7 linked regions of the Danio rerio genome follow. The protein of the gene in region 1 interacts with the protein of each later gene in a biochemical or structural test. Links are inferred from orthologs where the notes say so. Each region holds a gene or a part of one and is shown in the gene's direction. Other genes may lie near its edges.

The links.
Region 2: of the proteins of rela (region 1) and setd7, one has a biochemical effect on the other in vitro, tested with the Homo sapiens proteins (3 studies listed by BioGRID and IntAct, with this or other methods). The link is inferred for Danio rerio from reciprocal best matches to the Homo sapiens genes RELA and SETD7.
Region 3: the proteins of rela (region 1) and tbp form a complex in vitro, tested with the Homo sapiens proteins (2 studies listed by BioGRID). The link is inferred for Danio rerio from reciprocal best matches to the Homo sapiens genes RELA and TBP.
Region 4: the proteins of rela (region 1) and esr1 form a complex in vitro, tested with the Homo sapiens proteins (3 studies listed by BioGRID and IntAct). The link is inferred for Danio rerio from reciprocal best matches to the Homo sapiens genes RELA and ESR1.
Region 5: of the proteins of rela (region 1) and prkcz, one has a biochemical effect on the other in vitro, tested with the Homo sapiens proteins (2 studies listed by BioGRID). The link is inferred for Danio rerio from reciprocal best matches to the Homo sapiens genes RELA and PRKCZ.
Region 6: the proteins of rela (region 1) and ing4 form a complex in vitro, tested with the Homo sapiens proteins (3 studies listed by BioGRID, with this or other methods). The link is inferred for Danio rerio from reciprocal best matches to the Homo sapiens genes RELA and ING4.
Region 7: the proteins of rela (region 1) and parp1 form a complex in vitro, tested with the Homo sapiens proteins (2 studies listed by BioGRID). The link is inferred for Danio rerio from reciprocal best matches to the Homo sapiens genes RELA and PARP1.

Annotation. Positions count from the first base shown.
Region 1 is NC_133182.1:1,073,541-1,077,040, reverse strand, and holds part of rela (transcription factor p65), read left to right. Parts: intron 1-2,158; coding exon 2,159-2,293; intron 2,294-2,428; coding exon 2,429-2,533; intron 2,534-2,792; coding exon 2,793-3,008; intron 3,009-3,500. UniProt on the Homo sapiens protein: NF-kappa-B is a pleiotropic transcription factor present in almost all cell types and is the endpoint of a series of signal transduction events that are initiated by a vast array of stimuli related to many biological processes such as inflammation, immunity, differentiation, cell growth, tumorigenesis and apoptosis.
Region 2 is NC_133189.1:50,828,359-50,831,858, reverse strand, and holds part of setd7 (histone-lysine N-methyltransferase SETD7), read left to right. Parts: intron 1-821; coding exon 822-1,011; intron 1,012-2,339; coding exon 2,340-2,421; exon of another isoform or gene 2,422-2,446; intron 2,447-2,625; coding exon 2,626-2,743; intron 2,744-2,836; coding exon 2,837-2,994; intron 2,995-3,500. UniProt on the Homo sapiens protein: Histone methyltransferase that specifically monomethylates 'Lys-4' of histone H3. H3 'Lys-4' methylation represents a specific tag for epigenetic transcriptional activation.
Region 3 is NC_133188.1:27,603,467-27,606,966, reverse strand, and holds part of tbp (TATA-box-binding protein), read left to right. Parts: intron 1-1,714; coding exon 1,715-2,046; intron 2,047-2,166; coding exon 2,167-2,254; intron 2,255-3,500. UniProt on the Homo sapiens protein: The TFIID basal transcription factor complex plays a major role in the initiation of RNA polymerase II (Pol II)-dependent transcription.
Region 4 is NC_133195.1:29,083,446-29,086,945, reverse strand, and holds part of esr1 (estrogen receptor), read left to right. Parts: intron 1-1,611; coding exon 1,612-1,728; intron 1,729-3,500.
Region 5 is NC_133183.1:19,585,326-19,589,355, reverse strand, and holds the start of prkcz (protein kinase C zeta type), read left to right. Parts: upstream 1-1,230; 5' UTR 1,231-1,707; coding exon 1,708-1,972; intron 1,973-4,030. UniProt on the Homo sapiens protein: Calcium- and diacylglycerol-independent serine/threonine-protein kinase that functions in phosphatidylinositol 3-kinase (PI3K) pathway and mitogen-activated protein (MAP) kinase cascade, and is involved in NF-kappa-B activation, mitogenic signaling, cell proliferation, cell polarity, inflammatory response and maintenance of long-term potentiation (LTP).
Region 6 is NC_133194.1:10,614,127-10,618,137, reverse strand, and holds the start of ing4 (inhibitor of growth protein 4), read left to right. Parts: upstream 1-1,211; 5' UTR 1,212-1,239; coding exon 1,240-1,276; intron 1,277-2,103; coding exon 2,104-2,175; intron 2,176-2,301; coding exon 2,302-2,468; intron 2,469-4,011. Other genes in the region: uncharacterized protein fam131ba, read right to left, coding at 317-401, 634-678, 1,061-1,078.
Region 7 is NC_133195.1:46,988,145-46,991,644, forward strand, and holds part of parp1 (poly [ADP-ribose] polymerase 1), read left to right. Parts: coding exon 1-25; intron 26-188; coding exon 189-317; intron 318-419; coding exon 420-518; intron 519-2,163; coding exon 2,164-2,316; intron 2,317-2,909; coding exon 2,910-3,037; intron 3,038-3,500. UniProt on the Homo sapiens protein: Poly-ADP-ribosyltransferase that mediates poly-ADP-ribosylation of proteins and plays a key role in DNA repair.

The DNA of each region.
Region 1 (3,500 bases):
AGTAAATAATATTAGACTAGATATTCTTCAAGACACTAGTATACAGCTTAAAGTGACATTTAAAGGCTTCACTAGGGTAATTAAGTTAATTAGGCAGGTTAGGGGAATTAGGCAGGTTATTGTATAACAGTGGTTTGTTCTGTAGACTGTTGAAAACAAATATAGCTTAAAGGGGCTAATAATATTGACCTAAAATGGTGTTTAAAAAATTAAAAACTGCTTTTATTCTTGCCGAAATACAACAAATAAGACTTTCTCCAGAAGAAAAAATATTATCAGACATACTGTGAACATTTCCTCAATCTGTTCAACATCATTTGGAAAATATTTAAAAAAGAAGGGGGGGGGGGGTGAATAATTCTGACTTCATCAGTATATACAGTTATTAGTAGGGCCAGACAGATTCTTCTGACATCTTTTACTATTTCTGCTGAGAATTTAGTAAAAATTCTGCAGATTTATGCGGAAGGATTGTAGTAGTATCGTAACTAAAAACTTAATATATGAAGTCAACAAATAATGCATTTTAAACTTTTATTTACTGTTTACTATGCAAATCCAATTAGATCCACTTGTTTGGTAATCAAAGCAAGTCTCTCATATAATAGATCTAAGACAAGACAGCTGTATTGTGAATAAATCATGTCAATATTTTAATACTCGTCAACATTATTACTGAATTTATTTAAAAACTGAATAAATATAAGATTACACACATTCACACAAGTAACTAAATAGACTCAGCCATGGGCTGGAAATCTGCAGATTTCTGCGTGTGCAGATTCCGTGTGGGCCTAGTCCTCAGTAGTAGTGTCAGTAGTAATTAGTAGTATGTATAAGTTACTAGGGCTGTCAGAATTCATTGTTTCTTCAATGCACTGAGAATCAGACGTGAACAGTGTGTTATTGGTTTAGTAATAATCATAACCGCTTATTATATACTGACGTCATTTATCACACATGCGCTATATGGCGGTAGCTTACTATAGCGAGGGAGGAGGCTGTGAGTAATTAAAACTGCTTCAACAACTTACAAAGCAGAAACTGTGCACAATTGACTGCTTGTGAGTTTGCTGGACAGTCTGTCACTGAGAGGGAAGTACAACAGAACCCAGCTCTCTCTCACTCTCTGTAGTCCCTTTGACCTGCTGGCGTGTTCGTGAGGTTTTGTTTTATCAGACCCTCTAGTGTTTCGCGAATTTATTTTATTGAAATCTTTTGTTTATTTATTTATTCTTTGCTAAAGTCATCCCTCAACCAATCTCCGTCATTGTAAGCTGCTGCTGTTTTGTCTGCTCTGTTGCTCTGTTTGTTAGATGTTTGCTCACACTTTATTTTACAGCGCGTCAAACGCACAATTTGCGCCACAGGATGCCTAATCGCATCTTTGCATTGACTTCACATGTAAATCACTCGCACTTAATCTGCGTCTGTTTACTGCACATGCTGCAAAACGCCGCCACCTGGCTTTCATGTACTGTAATGATTGTGAGGGCGCAGGTGAGACGCCGTTTTTCGAGAGACACTTAAATTGATCTCGTGTGCTGCGTATGCAACATCTATAAGTCATGTGACACACTCAATTGCAAATACAAATATAATTTGGTTTGGAATTTGTTGTTTAATAAGATTTAAATTTGTTTTGATTATTTTGCGTTTAAATAAGAATTTTGCAGAATCGCAAAAATGTGCGACTTTTTGTTGATTTTTGCGTTGGATTCAGCGATCACAGAATCGCACAAAACTAGGGGGTCTGTTTTATTTCCTCTCTCAGCTGCTACAACAATAACAGTACTTGTAACGTAACGTTACGACCATGTCTGCCGAGCGAGTTTTCTCCACCGCGACGCCGTCTATAATGGACCAGCTGATCGCCGCGGCCGATTAACATCAGTGTCCGTGTCACTGTTTGCTGAACAACACCAAAGTCGCGCTGACCATTAGAGCCAATCGCAGCCCTCTCTGTTGAGCGTGTGATCAATCATAGGCATTTAAGAACTCGATCAACAACGCTTCAAAAGCAAGCGGGATCAAAATTACATTTGTTTATTTTTGTGTCATTCTGTATTTGTGAATGACATTTTACAAACACATAACTGTTAATCTGCAACCTGGATTCTCTCTCTCTCTCTGCACGTGTGCATGTGTGTGTGTGTAGTTCCTGACGCAAAGATCTGGGAGGAGGAGTTCGACCTGAACGCGGTGCGTCTGTGTTTCCAGGTCTCCATCACCCTGAGCAGCGGAGATCTGTTCCCTCTGGAGCCCGTCGTCTCTCAGCCGATATACGACAACAGTACGACTGTGTGTGTGTGTGTGTGTGTGTGTCTGTTTGTGCATCTGTATGCGTTTGTGTGTATCTGTTTGTGTTTCTGTATGTGCATCTATGTGTGTGTTTGTGTGTGTGTAACTCTGTGTTTGTGTCCTGCAGGAGCTCCTAACACTGCTGAGCTGAAGATCTGCCGTGTCAATAGAAACTCCGGCAGCTGTCGAGGAGGAGACGAGATTTTCCTGCTGTGTGATAAAGTACAGAAAGGTGTGTGTGTGGCACTGCAGAGACACACACACACACAAATACAGAGACAGACACGGATACTTAAAGACAAACACACACTCTCAATCAGACACATAAACACACAAAAGCACAGAGACACACACACAGCCTGTTTCAGCATCGCTCATATACTGTCTCACTGAACGTTTGATTCATTCATATATTTATTTATACTGATCATTTTCAGTATTAATATTGTTCATAGGGCTGGGTTAAAATGCTGTGTGTGTGTGTGTTTCAGAGGACATTGAGGTGCGCTTCTTCCTGGACTCGTGGGAGAGTAAGGGCTCGTTCTCTCAGGCTGATGTGCACCGGCAGGTGGCGATAGTGTTCCGCACGCCGCCCTACTGCGACACTAACCTGACCGAGCCGCTGCGTGTCAAGATGCAGCTGCGCAGACCATCTGACCGCGAGGTCAGCGAGCCCATGGACTTCCAGTACCTGCCCTCAGACCCGGGTGAGCTTTATTACAGTGTTGCCATTACATACTGCATTAATACCTAGTTATTACAGTGTTAACTAAGTGTTATTACTGCATTATTATGGTTAATTAAGTATTATTACTGCATTATTATGGTTAATAAACTGTTATTACAGCATAATTACTACATTACTGAATTATTAGTGTTAATTAAGTGTTATTAATGCATTATTTCTACATTACCGCATTATTACGGTGTTAATTAAGTATTATTACTGCATTATTACTACATTACCGCATTATTACGGTGTTGAGTGTTATTACTGCATTATTACTACATTACCGCATTATTACGGGGTTAATTACTTGTTATTACTGCATTATTAATACATTACTGCATCATTACAGTGTTAATTAAGTGTTGTTACAGCATTATTACTACATTACCGCATTATTACTACGTTATTACTGCATTATGACATTATTACAGCAATATTATGGCAATATTACTGTGTTATTACTGCAATG
Region 2 (3,500 bases), on another chromosome or scaffold:
CCGTGACGTGTCTCATAGCTCGTGCTTGACTCTGGCAGGTCTGGCAGGTCTCATGAATAATTAAGCAGCCGGCTCTTCTTATAGGATAAGAAAACTCCGCTATGAATAATAATGAGAAACCGACGCGTCATCATTGCACTTGCAGTACTGCGCTACGTCGCCGATTTTGATCCCACCCCAAAAATCATTTTAAACCCGGAAGCTGAAATTAGCTGACAAAAGCTCAAAATTATCCAGTTTTCCCCACAATTAAAGCTGACAGGTGCTAACATTGTCTTAACTGATGCTCAACACACACAAATCTGTTAATATATAAAAAAAAAGTTTTCCAGGGTGTCCTGAACCTTTAACAAGGCATTTGTGCCCACTGAACTGCCGCTCACTGGATATTTTCTCTTTTTCGGACCATTCTCTGATCTGATCAACATTCATAGTCACTTAAACCCCCTGTCTTCCCCATTCTGATGCTTGCTTTGAACTGCCATGTCTACATGCCTAAATGCTTTGAGTTGCTGCCATGTGATTGGCTGATTATCAATGTGCTTTATCGAGCACTTGGACAGGTGTACCTAATAAAGTGGCCGGTGAGTGTATATACACATATGTATTGTGTGTGTGTGTGTGTGTGTGTTTAATTTGTTTCTATTTGTTTATACATTTGTTTGTTTTTTTGTATTTGTTTATCTGTCTTTTTGTATTTGTTTTTTTTATATTTTACCTGATATTGAAATTGTTTCTTAATATTTGTTTGTGAGAGTTGCATGTATGTAGGAAAAGTGCTATAAAAATAAAAATGTAATACTATCGTCTGTTGGGTAAAGGATGGAGCCTGTGTTGTGGGAGAAGTGAATGAAGAAGGAGAAATGACTGGAAAGGCAGTGGCTTATGTGTACCCTGATGGCCGTACGGCTCTGTATGGCTCTTTTGTTGACGGAGAGCTGATCGAGGCTCGGCTTGCGACTCTTACAACCCAAGAGAACAGCCGGCCGCACTTCACTGTTGATCCAGATAGTAAGCAATACTTTTATTTACAGTCTCATAAATCTTATCTGAAGATTACCCTTTGCATTGTATGTTGTGTTGTTTAAGGCAGTGTTTTACTCCTCCCAAAATGTAAAAAAGTAAAGAAAGCGTGTTATGCCGAGTTCTGACTTCATGATTTTAGCTCGGATTTTGACTCGCCGACAGGTTTTGAGAAATCGCAGACAAATGCCTGAAATCTCAGGCAAATCGTTCCTTGTTTACGTGAGTGACAATCACCCAGTGTGAATTATCAAAGACACGAACTTATAGAATTGCAGATGAGTCACCAACACGGTGAGATTACTGGCATGCTAAATATCTGGAGCTGTCAGCGATGCAAAATCATGCCGTGTGAAATGTGTTCTGATTGAAAATAACACCGGCGATTACTTACAGCCAATGAGAGAGCAGCATCCACTGGTGTGGGTATTTGCAGACCAGCAGGAGGTTGGGGGAGAAGTTAAAAGGGCTCATGTTCATTTTTCTATTTAAATCCAGCAAAGGGGTTTATATATATATTAATATAAAATATATTATTAAATCTGAAATGCTTAAAGCACAATTTGTTTCATATTTTTATTCTATTGTATTGATTTCTCTTTATTTGTATTTATTATCTTTCATTATATAACAGTAGTTTCTTCTGCAATTAAAAATATATATTGCCTAGAGGGGCTAATAATATTGACCTTAATAGAGGATTCAAAATATTTAAATCTGCTTTTATTCTAGCCAAAACAAAACAAATAAGCCTTTCGACAGAAGAAAAATATTACAGTGAATACTGTTAAAAATCCTTGCTCTGTTAAACATCATTTGGGAAATATTTATTTTAAAAAATTCTCAGGAGTGCTAATAATTTTGATTTCAACTAATAATCGTTTGAAATAATCGTGATTACAGTTATGACCAAAATAATCGTGATTATTATTTTTCCCAAAATCGAGCTGTCCTAGCCCAATGTGTTCTTAATCCGGCCCTGTCTGCTGCGTAAAACATATGCCAGAATAGTTGGCGGTTAATTACGCTGTGGCGACCCCTGATAAATAAGGGACTAAGCCGAATTAAAATTAATGAATGTGTAAGCTTACATTTTTGTAAATAATAATGCTAATTGTTATTGTGCACATGACACTCGACGTAACCTAGTGAAATTTGCATATTGCACAGGACTTGATTAACAGAATCATATCCGTTTAGCAGAGACGTATTCATGTGGTCAAAAGTAAATCGAACCGTTTTCAAAAATCAGAAAAACAAGCTATCCGATCAGAAAAAACTGCATAAATTTGATCTTTTTCTCTCATTCATTTCAGGTCCTATTTACTGCTATGATAAATCCACTTCATCCTGTATCGCTGGTCATAAACTGCTGCCTGACCCCTACGAAAGTCAACGGTTGGTGCAAGCTGTGATCAACCATGTAAACCCCAATCTATCAAATCTGGTTTTGCATTGAAAACATGTGCTTGTTTGTTCCAGTGATGGATTGTCTTGTCATTTCACCAGGATATTCAGCTGGTTCTGTACTATAGTATTGCACATGTCATCACCTTGTTGATTTCAAGCTGAAATGGTTTTATTTTTATGTTGGTTGAACAGTGTGTATGTGGGACAGTCGCTTATTTCCGGAGCTGGAGAAGGGCTTTTTGCACAAACGGAGGCTGAGGCTAACACTGTGATGGCTTTTTATAATGGTGTCCGCATTACACACACTGAGGTTTGATTGGTTGTGTTTTACAGCATTCAAGGCTAGAATTTACTTGATGAATGATGTGCTGAATTATTTTTATATCTGTGCTTAAATAAACAGGTGGACAGTCGTGATTGGTCCATGAATGGGAACACCATTTCATTGGACGAGGACACTGTGATTGACGTTCCTGCACCTTTTAATATGACAGAGAATTATTGTGGATCTCTTGGTCACAAGGCCAATCACTCCTTCTCTCCCAACTGCAAATACGACCAGTGAGTCTGAATATATTCTATTCTCTATGGTTATAATCCATTAAAAGTCCCCAATAGGTCGGAAGAATTACTCAGACTGTCCTGTCTGACACAAACACTCATGCCATATTCCAAAATAATCACATTTCTTCCCTATTTTGATGCTCTGTTAAAACTTTAACTGATGGTCTTGACCAGGGCTACATGACTAACTGCATTGAATTGCTGCCAAGTACTTGGCTGCTTAGATAACTGCATTGACAGGTAGTTGAACAGGTGTACCTAATAATGTGTCCATTAAATATATGCAAGTTTTAAGCCGTGGTCACACTGCACTTTTTCCCCATAGACTTCCATTCATATGCAAGCGAATGTGGCAGACCAGAAATGCAAGCTGGTGCGACAAGTTTCCCACGTCGCTGCATTGGAAAGTTCAAGCTCTGACCTGCGAAATCACATCATTATTCGAAGATCAAAAACGTGACCTCTTTGTACAGAAATTTTAAATATGGACCAGTCGCTCACTT
Region 3 (3,500 bases), on another chromosome or scaffold:
TGCACCTTATGGATGTTTAATAAATGTTTTTAAAATAAAACTATTCTCTGTGTCTTTAAGTGTTTAATAAACCATCACATTTTTGGCTTTATTATATGAGATATTTTCAGTTTTAGATTAAAAGTGTAATATGTATGTCTATTTTAGTATTTTGTTCATTGGTAATAAATAGTGCACCAATATAGATCAAATCAAAAACCATAAAGGATGAGGGAACCGTGTACTGAGAGCGCGCAAGAAAATTTGTGTGTAAGCAGTGCATATTTGAGAGTGAGCAAAGTTGCATGCAAGCAACGTATTATATTTGGGAGCTCACACGCAGTTTTGTCTACAAACAGAGGAAATCGGTGCACGAGCAAAGAGATTCACTTGCTCGTATTACTTGAATATGCTCTTCACTTGTAATACTGCACTCTGAACATTTGTCAGTCAGTGAAATAACGCCACAGCGGAGCTAATGGAATTTTTTGAGACTTGGGTGAACCGTTCACGGAGCACCACATTTGATTTGAGTTGAATTTAAAACACTATGAAGAGATTTTGTCTGAAACGAGTACATCTGTCTGTAACGACATCTTTATGATCCGTCCATGCATGATCATAGGGTGAACCAGATGACCAATAAATCTTGGCTAGAAATTTCAACAGCAGTGAGGAAAGGAGGAAAGTTTTTGTAGAAGTTTGGAAAAATCTAAAGAAGATGTTTGTTAAAAAAAAAAAAAAAAAGAGGCCCCCAAAAACATTCTTAATGATATTAATTATCTTTTTATTCGTCTGATTTTGTCTGTTTTTTTTTACCGCCCCCTGTCATTTAACAGAATATCTCAATGGCAAATGCACCAAGTATAAAAGCCTCATCCATTTCAAGAGGTGCAATGCAAGACTACTATGGACATTTTTAATGAACCAAATCACTTTTATTGTCACATCATCAGCAGCACATGTACCATGATGAGAATGACGGAATACAACGACATACTCCAAAATAAAAACAGTATACAATTAGCAATGTTGACCGTAATGCGTAGAAGACAATGAAGAGGTGTATACACAGTCTGACTGTCCTCATGCACCGCCTGGTGTAGATGCCCTGGAAGAAGGGAAGCTCACCTCCTACCATGCGGCCAACAGTTTGCACAATCCTATGCAGACCTTTGCGATTGCTGCTGTTTCCATACCAGGTTCTGATGCAGCCAGTCAGGATGCTCTCCATAGTGCAGATGTAGGAGCGAAGGATGTGGGGGCTCATTCCAAACCACCTGAGAAAGAAGAGGAATTGTTGTTGTCTTTTTCTCAGCACTAACAACGCCTCTTCTTCCTCAGGCGTCTCAGGATGGAGGAGAGACATTTTGAGTGGTTGCTGTTTTGAGATATCCAGACCTGTATGACTTCACAAATTTTGATTATCACAATGTTATTAAATATTACAGTTATGACAATAACAACAGCAACACTCATGCACAAAATACAGCTTATTCAGTTTTTTTTTTTTTTAAAGCACACCTAACTTTTCAAAAAAGGCAACGCAATGCACCTTGAATGAAAAAGCAGATTTGATTTTTGTCAACCCCAAAATCTGCAGAGCATTAATGCTTTCAAAAAAACTTCAAAAACATGGGCCAAAGTTTTGTATTCTAGCCTTTACATAATACATATTTTTCAGTTATGTATTGATGTATCAAATCATCTAATTTGCCTTTTTTCAATTCATAAGGGAGCCATGACGCCTGGCCTGCCCATTTTCAGTCCTATGATGCCGTATGGGACGGGCCTCACACCGCAGCCTGTGCAGAACTCCAACAGCTTGTCCCTCCTGGAGGAGCAGCAGCGACAACAGCAGCAGCAGCAGGCGGCCTCACAGCAGCAAGGTGGGATGGTGGGAGGTTCAGGCCAGACGCCCCAGCTTTACCACTCAACACAAGCCGTCTCCACAACAACAGCTCTGCCAGGCAACACACCACTTTATACCACACCCCTCACCCCTATGACGCCTATCACTCCTGCCACACCGGCCTCCGAGAGCTCTGGCATCGTCCCGCAGTTACAGTCAGTGTCCTTTCTCAATTAACAATCCTGTCAGAGATGTTGATTTGCGGTTCAGACAAACACATTGATTTTGTAAGAAATATTGGACTATCATGTTTAAAGTGTGTATTTATTTTTAAGGAATATTGTGTCCACCGTAAACTTGGGGTGCAAACTTGATTTGAAGACGATAGCACTTCGAGCCAGAAATGCTGAATATAATCCAAAGGTAAGACTTCTTGTTTTGTTTGGAATTGGCCTATTTATTTATTTGCTTGGAGTTATTAGTTGTTCATTACAAATGTTGTAAATCCTAAAACAGGGTATCTGTGAGGTCTTAAATGTATTAAAAGGTGATTAAATCAATTTAGAGAAATGTAAGGCCCTTAAAAAGTATTAAATGTTGCTTTATAAAGTATTAAGTTTTGTATCAGTATACTATTCTAAAGTTTGCCTGAATTTAATCTGTGAATATTGGGATTCGGTTTATGAAATGAATAAAGTCCCGCTGGAGTTCACATCACACTGCTTTGTGCAATGCAGTAACCAAGGAAACACTGTTACTCCTGTAACAAGATGGTTCAAGATTCATTTATTGGTCACATTCTATAGAACCATTACATAACATGAACCACCAAAAGAACTAGAGCGAAAACAAACAAACTAATTAATCTCGAAAATGAAAACACTAAGCCAACATCAAAAATATCAAACAGTAATCTTAAACTAGATTCTTAAAGTTTGAGAACAAACTTTGAGGCTGGCTTGTGAAAGCCTGACGGTAATAGTTTATTTAAACAGTTTTAAAAAGTATGAAAAGATAGATAGATAGATAGATAGATAGATAGATAGATAGATAGATAGATAGATAGATAGATAGATAGATAGATAGATAGATAGATAGATAGATAGATAGATAGATAGATGTTGTTAGCATGATTCTAGCATGAATTAGCATAATGTTAGCATGATTCTAGCATGAATTAGCATGTTGTTAGCATGATTCTAGCATGAATTAGCATGTTGTTAGCATGATTCTAGCATGAATTAGCATGTTGTTAGCATGATTCTAGCATGAATTAGCATGTTACTAGCATGATTCTAGTATGAATTAGCATGTTACTAGCACGATTCTAGCATGAATTAGCATGTTACTAGCATGATTCTAGCATGAATTAGCATGTACCTAGCATGATTTTAACATGAATTAGCATGTTACTAGCATGATTTTAGCATGAATTAGCACGATTCTAGCATGAATTAGCATGTTGTTAGCATGATTCTAGCATGAATTAGCATGTTACTAGCATGATTCTAGCATGAATTATCATGTTGTTAGCATGATTCTAGCATGAATTAGTATGTTACTAGCATGATTCTAGCATGAATTAGCATGTTACTAGCATGATTCTAGCATGAATTAGCATGTTGTTAGCACGATTCTAGCATGAATTAGCATTTGACTAGCATGATTC
Region 4 (3,500 bases), on another chromosome or scaffold:
TGCTGTTATACTCCTTATTAAATCCAGAAACTAAGCTTTTTTTGCACAGGCCTATCTGAAGAATTTGGTGCCAACTATTGATCAACAGTACAAATGACTAATTTGACCTCTTTTCAAATCAAAAATGCATAATATGGTGTCATGGCTTTTCAATTAAAACATGTGGTTATAATACAAGTCAATGGGGGAAAAACAGCCAGCAACAAAAAATTAGGAAGAAAAAAAATGAAAATCACCCAAAACAATTAATCAAAGGCAATTTTGTTTCACATGTTTTATTTCACAGTTAATTTTTTATAGAATTTTTTTCTTTTCACCAAATCATTGACATTGCTTATACATTTGGCTATTAAAGAGTTAAAATCCTGTAATTTTTCTAACCAATTTAGTAGTTTTGATCAGAACTGAGGTTGATTAACAGATTTATGCAAAATAAAAGAAAAAAAAATATTTATCTGATGCATTTTTACAGGAGTCTAATTTAGTGGATGTGTTCATCTCGAACATAACAAAAGGGTAGTAAATTTGCACAGAGGCTATTGTTGAGGTTTTTGTTTTTTATTTAAAGCATTTTCTCAAAATATGTGTCAAAATAAGATTCGTCACCAGAAATCATTTTGCTAGCTGAAAAAGTTGTGGCCAAATGAATACTAAAAATCAGCCCAGAGTAGATGAAAACATCCCCAACAGTACACAAGGATTAATATGAGACACTGTTAAATAACTTACAAAACCAAACTTAATTTCTACAACGTATAATAAACGCAACGTTTTAGTGGTGACACTAGTGCACATTATCTAGGAGAATTAAAAATGTAAAGAATGGCCATACTCTAATGTGTACTCTGAGTGGTGCCATTTTATAGTCTGCATTACCTCCATGGTTTGAACTTCGTGAAAAATAAATAAAATAGGATGCTAGACTCTCGGGAAGTAATCTTTTTTATATGCTGTAAACACATTTAATATTAATTAGTATTATTATGTGTACTAAATTGTACTGACTTTGTGTTAAATGTGAATGAAGTGTAATATCTTCCTCTTGTTCATTTTTTAGAGGTGCTGTTTTATGCATTAGTGATTCAGGGAGTACCCTGAGATTTTCTAACGAACATTGTGAATTGCTTTTTACAGTTCCAAGGTCGACTTCACAGCCACCCAAACTGGCTTACTGCCACAATAACCTTCTTCACATACACTTTTTCATATGAATGTTTAGGATTCTCTGTTGCAGATTCTCTTATTATACCTCATTATTGAAGTGGTTTTATACAGCGGTTTAGCAGTCAGTGTGTTTGTGTCGGTCTGTGACATTTCTGGCTGCGACGCACTCATCTAATTTAAAATTTCATTTGGAGAGCGGGAACAGCGTGTACCTGCTCTCAGCTCCTAATCAGATCCAAAGCTGTTGATGCGCTGCACTGCACTCTTTGTTGCTTGTGACGGAACAGTATTTACATTTTGCTAATACAAAGTTTCTGAAGGAAAACCTCTCTGAAAGCTGAGCTGAAGAAAGATCTGGCATGAGTTTCTACTTGTGCATTTTATTGTTTGAGCATGATTGCTTAAGAATGATGAAAAACAAGCACTGCTTTATTTCTCCACCTTTAGGTCACAATGACTATGTTTGTCCAGCGACCAACCAGTGCACTATTGACAGAAACCGTCGAAAGAGCTGCCAAGCATGCAGACTGCGCAAGTGTTATGAAGTAGGCATGATGAAAGGAGGTACATTTTATATATATATATATTACTATTTTTTTCTTTTCCTCTCCATCTATATGTAAATATCATCTGTCATTTGATCATGATTTAAAGCAGCCTCTGTAGAGTTTCTCCCAGTGTCAAGAATTGAGCAAAATTCGAAATTAAAAGGGATCTTCTCCAAAATTATTCATCCTCGTGCTTGACTGTATATATTATATTTACATAAATATGATTAGACATATACACAAAGTAACTTATAGAAGTGAGTACAGCCCTCACATTTTTGTAAAAATTATATATATTTTCATGTGACAGCATTGTAAAATCCCACTTTACTACAATGTAAAGTACTGAGTACTCAGCTTGTATAACTGAGTAAATCAGCTGTCCCCTCAAAATAGCTCAACACACAGCTATTCAAATTTGAGCTTACATTGTAGCTGTGTAATTCTTCTCAGTGCTGTTACATGAAAAAAATATATTGAAATATTTGCAAAAAACTATTTACAAAAATGTGAGAGAAGATACTGTTTTGCATGTGTTTGTGTGTATATAAATATGTATTTATGTATGTTATGCATCATTCTATTTGCAGATTCCATTAGTAGAAATTTAGCTGCTAATAGCCTACATTATATACATACATATATATATATATATATATATATATATATATATATATATATATATATATATATATATATATATATATATATATATATATATAATTACTGGCCATTTTATTAGGTACACCTTACTACCTTCTTTAAATTCAGACCTGCCTTAATCTTTCGTGGCATATATTCGACAAGGTACTGGAAACATTCCTCAGAGATTTTGGTCCATATTGACATGATAGCATCATGCAGTTGCTGCACATCCATAATGCGAATCCATTCCACCACATCCCAAAGGTGCTCATCAGAAGATGGGTCCTTCAATAAGTACAACAATACTCAGATTGTGGCGTTGAAACAATGCTCAGTTGGAACTAATGGGTCCAAAGTGAGCCAAGAAAATATCCCCCACACCATTACACCACCACCAGCCTAAACCATTGATTCAAGGCAAGATGAATCCATGCTTTCATGTTGTTGACGCCAAATTCTGACCCTACAATCCGATTGTCACAGCAGAAATCAAGACTCATCAGATCAGGCAACGTTTTTGAATCTTCTATTGTCTAATTTTGGTTAGTCTGTGCAAACTTTAGCCTCAGTTTCCTGCTCTTAGCTGACAGATTGGACGTGTTGTGCGTTCAGAGATGCTCTTCTGTATACCTTAGTTCAGTTGTAACGAGTGGTTATTTGAGTTACTGTTGTCTTACTATAAGCTGGAACCAGTCTGGCCATTTTCCTCTGACCTCTGGCATCAACAAGGCATTTGCACCCACAAACTGCTGCTCACTGGAAATTTTCTCTTTTTCTGACCATTACCTTTAAACCCTTGAGATGGTTGTGCATGAAAGTCCCAGTAGATCAGCAGTTTCTGAAATTCTCAGACCAACAACCATGCCACTTTTAAAGTTACTTAAATCATCATTCTTCCCCATTCTGATGCTCAGTTTGAACTGCAGCAGTTCGTCTTGACCATGTCAACATACCTAAATGCATTGAGTTTCTGCAATGTGATTGGCTGATTAGAAATTTGTGTTAAAGAGCAGTTGGACAGGGGTACATAATAAATTGGCCAGTGAGCATATATGCATGTATGTATGTATATATATATAAAGGTAAATAAAATATTTTTGATTGATTTTATTCCACTTTATTACATTTTGACTGACAAGTTTT
Region 5 (4,030 bases), on another chromosome or scaffold:
TAGGTGGTTGCTATGTTGCTTTGGATGCTTGGTTACAAAGTGTACTTCCAAGTCTTTATTACATAATGTACAGTTGAAGTCACATTAATCAGTCCTCCTTTGAATTTTTTCTTATTTAAATGCTTACCAAACGATGAATACAGAGCAAGGGATTTTATACAATTCCTTTTAATATTTTTTTTTTCGGAAATTAGTTTAATTTTGGCTAGAATAAAAGTTGTTTTGAAAAGCATTTTTTTGTAGTAAAATATTTTAAGGTCAAACGTATTTGGCGTCTTAAGCAATATACTGTTGAAGTCAGAACTATTAAACCCCCTTTGAATTTTTTTCTTTTTTAAAATTTTTCTCAAATGATGTTTAACAGAGCAGGGAAATTTTCACCGTTTGTCTGATAATATTTTTTTCTGGAGAAAGTCTTATTTGTTTTATTTCAGCTAGAATAAAAGCAGTTTTTTACATTTTAAAAAACATTTTAAGGTCAAAATGATTAGCCCCTTTAAGCTATTTTTTTTTCGATAGTCTACAGAACAAACCATTGTTATACAATAACTTCCCTAATTACCCTAACCTGCCTAGTAAACCTAATTAACCTAGTTAAGCCTTTACATTTTACTTTAAGCTCTATAAAAGTGTCTTGAAAAATATCTAGTAAAATATTATTTACTGTCATCATGACAAAGATAAAAGAAGTCAGTTGTTAGAAATGAGTTATTAAAACGATTGTGTTTAGAAATGTGTTGAAAAGCCGAAATTTGGGAAAAAATAAACAGGGGGGCTAATTATTCAGGTGGGCTAATAAGTCTGACTTTATCTATATATTCTTTATTTAATGTAACTCGCTTAAGTATAATTATTTTTTTATCATCCACCACAACTTGCTTTCCTCAAGAGTCTGGCTAAATTAAGGTATTATTTATGTCCATGCCACAAACAGTAAGTGGCGAAATTGTAATACATTAAGTATCAAATTTATTCAGATTACCACTAATTATCAAAAAGTCCCAGCCATTATCAACCATCCTCCTCCTCCTTCTCATACACCACACACTAAGCTCTTTCACCATCCACCCTGATGCTCCGCTCCCTCGCGCTCCATGCCACGTTTTCCAGCGGGCCCCTCAGCTGTTTGCCACCGGCTCTCTGGGGACTCAGCTACACCCTGACGAAAGGATGAGAGTGAGAGAGAGAGAAAAGGACGAGAGAGTGAAATAATAGAGAAGAGAGGCGAAGAGTGCAGAGCAGAGCCAGGCACCGTAGCAAAAATATCCGTTCTGTGTTGCAGGAACTCCCTCCTTTTGTTTGTGCCGCCCGTCTCAATTAGGGCTTCCAGCAGAGCTGCCCGTTCCATCAATCCATCCATCCATCCATCCATCCATCCATCCATCCATCGAGGACGCAGCCTATACAAGGACAGCCAGCTGTAACGACCGCACGCAGGGAGCGACGGAGCGGCAGGGAGGGGGAGAAATAATTAAATAAGTCGCAAGGAAGAGGAGAGATTGAGTGAACAGAGGAGACGGCGAGGGAGGAGGGGATGTAGCCGGTGCGTCGTTTGGAGGCTGCCAGGGGAAAATGTGCTGAAACGAGCAGAAAACAGGAAGATACCGGTGAGCACCGCAACGTCGACATCTTTCCCATTTTGTCCACCCCTTCCATCTCATTTTGTGTGTGCGTGCGGATGCGAAGGCGAATCCGCCGTGTGCCTGCATGTTTGATGCATTCTGTTTATTCTCATCCCACCTTGCGGTGACTCGATGGCTCGTCTTTCGCTTGCCACTCTCGGGTCTGAACCTGTTGGCGAGTGCGGCAGTGTTGGTGTATGTGTGTGCGATTTGCCTACCTGGCATGTTTAGTCAGACTTCCAGAGAGCAGCTAGCATCCTTTCATTTAGCTTTCACACACAAAGGAAGACACAGACACACTCTCTTAGCTCTTGGTGCCGGAGACCCGATGCATCCTAAGAAGGCTGACGGTATGTGAACGGCGCTCTATCAGGCTATTGTGTGCATATTATTAAGAGTTTAGGGCTAACTAATAGATGGAAATGTGGGCTGGCGACTCTGATTTGTGTCATTATGATTGGTTTATCACATCCCTTCGCTATTTCCAAAGAGGTTGGTTAAAATAGATGCTCATGCATTATTTAAGTCTGACTGTCATAATTAGCGAGATGTCAGTTATCCAGCAGCTCTTGGCCACGATGCACCCAAACACGAGGCTCTGCATCTCTCCCGTGACTGAAGACACAAGGAGTCACATTCATGTTAGTTTGTTTCTAACGTTCTTGGGGAGTAACAAAGGGGAATTGTGTTCGGTTGGAACGCCAGGATCCTGATACTGTTGTCGAATGACGTTAGATTCATTTCTGAGTTGATTTTTGTATCAGATGGACCTGCAGACACACTGGGAGTCCGGTTGAGCTTTGGCTCAATGAACCCTGTTTGGTTTGTTTTCATGGTGCATTAAGTCTCCAACTTGTCCTTGGTGTGTTGCAGCCAAAAGCAGCAGTTTTTGAGTGGTTTGTGTCTTAAATGCTGCTCGGTGTTGCTGTTTTTAGCTGCAGTGTCTGTGTTGGGATGTCATATGATCCACCTGTTCCAGTATTGATTGGCAATAAATCTAAATATGGCCACTGCAGCACACCAGCGCCTGCTCGGGAGAACCCTGATGATGCGAAGTAAATGTCTTCTAACAAATCTGTGAAGGGTTATTGATGCGTTTGGTTATTTATAACTTGGCTGGTGGTGGTCCAGTCCTGATGTAATAAATGCGGGATGCTGTTTTTAAAGGTGTTGGTCACCTAACAGAACTAAAGCAGATTCTTAAGCAGAACACTATAGAATGTTGTTAGCTGAAACTGTAGTTGATTTATAAAATGCAGGTCAATGATTACGGGCACCTTTTGAGAGTCAGAAAACATACACAAGCAAATCAAAACAAATAATCATGACTGGTAATAAATTAAAGTTGCAATCAAATTAAAATTTTGTCTTCCTATTTTTTTTATACTATAAATGATGGCTGTGTGTGCTTCATTATTTTGTAAAGATTAAATACCATAACCTTCCCTTTCCCCTGAAATGACTTTTCTTCACTTCAGGTCACATGGAAAGGCTTTTGGGAGGGACATGTCTCCTTACTTTTGTCCATTCATCAATCTTCCTTTATTTTGTTAGCAGTATCCATCTTGCAATGATACAATCGGTTCTCAAATAACAAAAAACTTTAATGTCTTGATCACAATTCAAACTACTAAAGACCAGCAGGGACAAAGCAACAATTGACTATTCATATCAATGGAGAGCTAGAGACTTCTGGCATTCTCCCAACTATACAAGTGACAACAACTGTTGGTGACTGTATGTGTGGATGTCCAGCAATACAAAAAAGCTGAGAATCCTTCAACCTTATCCAAATGAAGAACGACTTTCGTTAGCAACAGCCAATAAGAGCATTAGTAGAGCTCACATGATCTTCTCTCAGCTTCTGCACCAGCCGGTTGGATATTCAACTTTCTGTAGAGCTGTGAGTTAGCCGTTAGTCGTGTTTGTTTATTTCTTGTTAATCATTGTATGCCCTCTGCAATGTTTATTTTCGAGTGGCAGGAAAACTAATTGGCTGACATGAACTGCAAGCTGTTTGCCAAGGTTCATGTTCAGTCTTTTCTATAAACCTGTGCAGTTGTGTTAGTACTTGCAATAAGTTTCTGGCTGTCATTCACTGAATGGCCACTGGTATCACTATTAACAAGAGTTTTTGAATTCAGTATATAGTATCAAAGACTCTAGAATACTCCAGACATGTCAGTCGTATACTTTTGAATGGGGAAAAGCGTAAATGTCAATATGGTGAATGAAGCCCCGCCTACTAGTACAGGAGCCACATCACATGAAAGCAGCAAGAACTCAAACTATGCCCCACAAACTAGTAAACAGATTCGCCATTAAGACCAAGTTGTGAATTACTTCAGAAGACTAGCGGAATCGGACGATCGTTATTCAGAGAATGATAATGTGTAAAACAGCCATAA
Region 6 (4,011 bases), on another chromosome or scaffold:
TGGTTCCAAAACTTTTTTTTTTTTTTTGCTGTACACAATGGAAAAAAATTGGTAGACACTGACTTTCACAGTATTTATTCACAACGGATACCGGTTTACAACATTCTTCAAAAAGATCTCCCATTGGGTGAACTATCCTATTAAAGTCCTATGTGATACTTACTCCCCGGGCCGTTTATATCGAAGTTGATGTTTAGCATCATGTTGGTGTTTTGTGACATCTAATTTTTACAAGATGAGTTGTTAGGGCAACGCTCAACCCCCAAACCTGGAGGACCAGGACTTACGCACATACACTACAGACAGTTTTGCTTACCCAATTCACCTGTAGCGCATGTCTTTGGACTCTGGAGCACTTGGAGGAAACCCGAAGAGGACATGAAGACTTCAGATGCAAAAACCTATAAATTACACCTGATATTTTGTCCAAAAATAAGCATTTTTTAAAAGCCTCCTGGAATTATGTTCAGTTATTTCACTGTAAAGGCAAAGAAAATAACTTATTTGTAGTCAAAATGACTGAACCTACACACAGGAGAAAATGCTATTTTAGAAGTACATATCAAATGGCATTTAGAGGTTTTTGTATCTAAACTCTTCACATGCAAACTCCACGCAGAAATGCCAACTGACCCAGCCGGGACTCGAACCAGCAACCTTCTTTCTGTAAGGCGTGATCTAAAATATATTTTAAAAAGTTAACTCACAAACATTGTGTCCAAAAATTTTTTTAAAATAAAAATAAATCATTTTATAGACTGTTTCATTTTGTGAGGGAAAATGGTGTCTATGTTAAATAGCAACTTTTTCGATAATATTGTTTAAGGGACAAAATAAAAGCTTCATTTGTTTCAGTTTTTCTTAAAAAGCTTAATTTGACTACACTTCACAATGTTGAAATTCAGATGAAATGGCAAAAAAATAAAAATAAGTCGAGCAAAGCTATTCATAAAATGTATTGTGATGCTAAATTAAGTCAAAATTGTTTCAAAATTTGAGATACTGTCATGTAATTTAGCATTTCAACCACCCCAAAATAAATCCCTCAATATATTCTCACCTTTTTATCTTTGAACATCCAAGGAGCAGTTTAGTCATTCCGTTTCAAGACACCTTCAAAGCAGATAAATGACATGAAAGGGGTCAACAGACACCCCATTCAGGACCCCTCCTCCTCATGAGCATGGCCCCCGAGAACTTCCGGCAAAACCGGAAGAACCTTTGTTTGTGTTTGTCAAGATGGCGGCTGGAATGTATCTAGAGCACTATTTGGACAGTAAGACTATTGTCTTCATTTTGATATTTATCCCCACAAATAAACATCGTCCGTGTTTAGATTGTCAAGCATGCCTGCAAGTTTCACATACACACGCCATTTACTATAAAAACGACCACGTAACGAGACAAAGCAGCGCTTTATTACGCGTTATTGCGATCAGTAGCTTCTGCTAACAGGCTATGAACAGTGTTATGATGTCAGCGACGGTTTATCGCTTAATTGTAGTGTTACTGTGACAGGATGTGATGTTTCTACTATTAATGTATTGAAATGATAAACATAAATAAACCCTGGAGCACATTGTTAAGCTTCAAATAAAGTGTTTAGCCCTGTCGAGATAACAAATAGTTTATTTAGTGCCATTTTTAAAATGTACACAGAATTGTGGGTCTTAGATGCTTTGTGTTATTGGTGTAAAGTTGGTTTTATTTTAGCACATTTGGACTTTTACCTCATTAATATAGTTTCAAAAAAGTATTATTTGCTAATTTTAAATAAGGATATAAAATTAGCAGCCAGTTACTATCAAAGTACATTATTTACAGTCAGTAAATTAGTGCTAATGTTGTTTTAAAGTCATATTTACATGCGAATTCAGACTAAATATTTAAAGTAGGCTGGTAAACAATATAGCTACTGTGTCACAACAAGTAGTCACGTTGTGTTTATAACAATTTGTCATTATAACGAATCTGCATTAGCCTTTTTAATTTCTGCTTCACTATTTTCTTGGACTCCAAAGTATAAATGTGAGAATATAAAGCCAATTTTACCTGAATCTTCATGGTGGTGCTGAAGACTCATATGTCACTTGATCTATTTAGGCATCGAGAATCTGCCATTTGAGCTGCAAAGAAACTTCCAGCTGATGCGAGATCTGGACCAGAGGACAGAGGGTGAGTCGGTGTAGTAATATCTTTTATAATGCGTGCTGTTACTTTATTTCCTGACTCTATTATTTCTTCTATAAAATGGTACATCTCTTTTAAATGGTTGTTTGTTTACATCTCTTGTTTCTGCAGATCTGAAAGGGCAGATTGATTCTCTGGCTCGTGAATACACCGCTAATGCTCGGACACTGTCATCTGAACAGAAGCTCTCGCTGTTAAGACAGATCCAGCAGTCTTATGGGAAGTGCAAAGAGTTCGGAGATGACAAGGTGCAGCTTGCGATGCAAACCTATGAGATGGTTAGTGAAAATCTGCATTTGCTCTTTGCTAAATAGAAAAAAAAGTAGATATATATATACAGTGCTCAGCATATACAAGTACACTTCTCAAATCTCTCTTTTAAATTCTTATTTTTAATAGAAAGCTATACAATATTATATTTGTGTATATACAGATTAGATTATCAGTACTGAAGCCAAACCTGGAACTCATTTAACAAAATAACTTATGATCATGCTCCAAAAACTAGTACACCCAAATTGATATGTTATAAAAAAAATATTAAATGCAAATTTGACAAATTTTAAGAGAAGCAAAAAATAATAATAATTTAAATTTTGTTGATATTTTGTAGGTTGTCATTTTTATTTCTATTATCTTTTTAGTTTTTTTAACTATTTTTTCTATTCTTCTATTTGTTTAAGTGATAATTCACCAAAAAATTAAATGTACTCACTATTTACTCTATATTTTTTATTTACTTTTAAAAAATCCCCAAAATTTATCAGATATGATGATAATTCAGATTTAGTAAGAAATAATAAATCTACTTTTATACAAGTTTGTTTTCCATGCAGAAATTGTGCCGCATGTCAGAATCTAGTAAAGTATAAAGAATTTTAGAATCAAGTAACAGGTAAAAATAATAAAACAAAAAACTGCATTATTATATACATATATATATATATATATATATATATATATATATATATATATATATATATATATATATATATATATAAAGGGAAGTCATCACGTTATTTGAAATTGCGAATTAGTGAACATAAATCAAGTATACGATGACAAGATATAACTTCGGCAGTAGGAAGACATTTCAGATGATGACATTAAACAGAAGAATGTATGGGGGAATTACCAACCTACATCACACATGATGTCACACAGGTTCAACCACGCATACCAGTTGCAAAAAAAGACCGGTTGCAATAGCAAACATGTCGTGTTGTGCTGTAGGACAACCTAGAACCAGCTACTGCGAAGGCACGGTCACCTCTGCATTTCAGCCTTGACCCAGGTATGCACAACAGTTTCTGGTTAGAAGACCGAAGAGACAGACCAGGCTGATGCTCAATTAACATGTCTGACAGATAAGAAGTTGCCAGGCCATTTAGAGATTTAACAACCGAGAGAAGCATTTTAAAAGTTACTCTATAGTGCACAGGCAGCCAGTGCAAAGAGCGTAAAACTGGTGTAATGCGTGTTGTGTGTCATGTTTCTTGGTACCTGTTAAAAGCCTTGCAGCAACATTTTATACTAATTGTAACCAGGATTACAATAGTCCATTCTAGTAGTAATAAAAGCATGGATTATTTTTTTCCAAACTTTTTTCTAGATAAAATAAATTTGACAGTTTTTAAAAGTTGAAGCTGAAAAAAGCAGGAAATGACCACTGCATTTAACTGTTTGTCAAATCTTAAGCCATCATCCAGAATTACACCTTGATATTTTATCCAGGGCTTCATAAAAAAACTTAATTTTTCTAGATTAACCATTGGGGCTCTGGAAGAGTTTGACGGGCCGAACAAAATCATTTCACTCTTA
Region 7 (3,500 bases), on another chromosome or scaffold:
ATTGAGTAATGTGGATTACATCCAGGTAAGACTTGTGTAACCATCATAACATGTCTCAGTGAAGGCCTTATGGAGATAATTATGTACATTGACCTTGAGTGGTTTTAAAAGACGCCTTAAAGGTATTTTAATATTATAATTATTAATATTATTATTATGTACTCAAGCCTGTTGTGTATCCATAACAGCAAAAGGTGCAGATGCTGGACAACCTTTTGGACATCGAGGTGGCCTACAGCCTGCTTCGGGGAGGAGTGGAGAACAACGAAAAAGATCCCATTGACATCAACTATGAGAAACTCAAAACCAAAATTGAGGTAAAATGGCTTTGACTGCAAGAGCTATAAAGTTTTGTGTATGGTTACCACAGTGAAGTCGCGCTGTAGTGATTGATGTTGATTTGTTTTGTTTGCTTGTAGGTCGTCGACAAGTCTTCACATGAGGCTCAGCTTATCCTTCAATATGTGAAGAACACACATGCTGCTACTCACAACACCTACACACTGGATGTTGAGGAGGTGAGATTAAACACTCACTACATTTACATGGACATCAGTAATCTCAATTTTTCCCTTGATATGAATAAAACAATAAGATGATTATGGTGTTTACATGAGTTGGTTTTGAATGTTCCTCATGATCTCGAGCCACCACATTTCCTCCGGAGTTTCATGTAACTTTGGGTGTTTCATTTAAAAATTTTCGACTTGAACTACTAAACGCATCGACTTAATCCAGATGAGAATTTCTTTAACAGAAATCAGCTAAAGCTACTAAATCATCCACAAACCGTCTCAAAACTTGTTCATAATACCCTAACATTTGAGCCGCTTCGCTGATGTTTAAACTCCTGCTAAAATGAGCTTTGGCTTCCCGCTAATATTTTTCATTTACAAGTGAGAGCGGTCCAACGGCATTTTTTAACTCAATTTATTTTCAACTCGAGAAAAGCATTTGTCAAATGCCTCTTAAAAAAGCTATTTAAATTATGCATTTAATTGCATTTTAAATTATTTATTAATGCACTTTTTCATTGGTTGATTAATCAGCGGTTTAGGACATGAATTAAATAAACATTCATAAAATTGTCTATTTATTTATACATTTAAAAGTTATTTATAAATGCATTGTTTTATTGCTTTCATGTCATTTAAAAACACATTTAAATATGTAGATTTATTTTTCCATTATTTGTTCATTTAAATTGTGATTCATACTTATTTTAATGCTTCAATTACTAAATTGATTATTTTATTCTTTATTTTATTTCTAACCGTCTCTCCTGGTCCTCCATACCTAATGTAGAGTATTCATTTTTAGTTAATCGTGTTTTACAAGATCTCAAATTTATCTGTAAAAAATGTACAGCAACTGTGTTAGACACTCTTTTCCCTTTTAGAAATACCTTGTGGCATAGAGATTTAACAGGATGCAGGATCATTTTCAGATTTTATACATTTTTATTTTTCAGATGTTTTCCTAGTGATGTATAAAGGGGAGAATAACTTTTTATAATTTTAATGGTTTAATAACTAATTTCTTTTGTCTTTGCCATGATGACGGTATGGAATATTTTACTAGTTATTTAATAAGGGTTAATTAGGTTAACAAGGCAAGTTAAGCTTATAAGTCAAGTAATTGGAAAAAAGTGGTTGGTTCTGTAGCCAATAAAAATTAAGGGGGCTAATAATATTGACCTTAGACGTTGAAAACGTTTATTCCAATCAGACTAAAAGAAATAAGACTTGATACTGTGAAAAATGTTCTCTTAAATTTTATTTGGGATAGGGAAATATTTAAAGGAATAACAATTTTGATTTCAACTGTCTCTGCACTTTATTCAAACTAATGTTATAATGTTACAATCAAAGGGTAATCTTCGATCTTTTGAAACCACATTGCATCAGTTGTTGTTTAGTTTTTGTTTCTTCCTCAAGTCCTTAATGTAGTTGTTGTAGTTTTTGAGCCATAAGAGCCTGATGTATTCAATAAAAACTGTAAATTTAAAAAAAAATGTGTAATGTATAAAAATTGTTTGAAGTTTTGATTAATTCCCAGATTTTCAAAAGCAAACTTTTCACACATTTCCCCATTTTTAGTACATATACCATAGCTGTAAAATAACACGCTGTTATCTCCATCTGCTGTGTCTTTGCATCATAGATCTTTAAGATTGAGAGGGAGGGCGAGTATCAGCGTTATCGCCCCTTCAAAGAGTTACCCAACCGCCAGCTGCTGTGGCACGGCTCGCGCACCACCAACTATGCTGGTATTCTGTCTCAGGGTCTCCGCATCGCTCCTCCGGAGGCCCCAGTGGTGAGTTTCTTTCTTTTATCTTAAGATTGGCCCTTTTCACAGGACTGTTATAATGTGTGTAACAGTCATCAGCATCTTAAATCCAATAAAGTTTTTAATATCTTGATAAAAAAAGCATATGAACATTTATATGTATTCATATATGTTATATCATCTTTGCATCAAATTACAAAAAAAAAACTAATTGCCGCTTATGCAAAGTGTTTGCAATACAAAGTCTATGGGGCGGGACAGTAAATTTGACCTTGTTCTTTTTTTCTGGCTGCTGTTATCAGTCTCACAATATTTTTTTTCTTTCTCTGAAAGTCTTGATAACACCATAATCAATTTTTTCTTTAAATATTTCAGCAAATAGGATTGTAAAAACATTACTCATTACTTGTTGTAGTCTCTTATTCACTGCGCTCTAAGTTTTTCCAACTATGATGACTTCTGCTTCTGAGAAACCCGGAAATGTGAAAAGGGTCCATTTGATGAATAGCTGCATTAGAGCCATTTCTTTCTTGATCTATGGTGCTGCACTGTTCATTGTTTTTTTGTTGTTGTTGTTGTTCTCCTATGATATCTAAACTGTTATGTGATCTTTCATACAGACGGGTTACATGTTTGGCAAAGGTGTTTACTTTGCTGATATGGTGTCGAAGAGTGCCAACTACTGCCACACGTCTCAGGCTGATCCTGTGGGCCTCATTCTGTTAGGAGAGGTTGCATTAGGGAACATGTAAGTCATTAAAGATTAATCCAAAGAATCTTGATGATCTCTGGTAGTCCTGCAAGAACCCTTTATTTGCTATTCCAGATGACTTGATTAATCAAGTATTTGAGTTTGCAGAGATGTATGGATGCAGTCCTCCAAGCTCATGAGAGTTATACACAATATTCATTCTTTTTCCACTGCACCATGACTTTATATTCTACATTGGACATTATTTCTGTTAAGCGGCAAGACTTTTGTCTAAGCAAAGTCAGATCTTACTGTCCTAATTAAATCATTAAAAATCAAGGCATGATCATGTTTGGTTTTGGTAAAATAAGCGTAATCTAGAGGCCTTTGACTTTTATATAAGCCACTTTTGATACCAAATGAACAAGTTATCATAAACTTGGATAGGTGACAAGACTTTGGTCTGATAGTGTACATTTAACTTGCTTGTAACTATATGTAATTCTTTTGTAGCATTGTA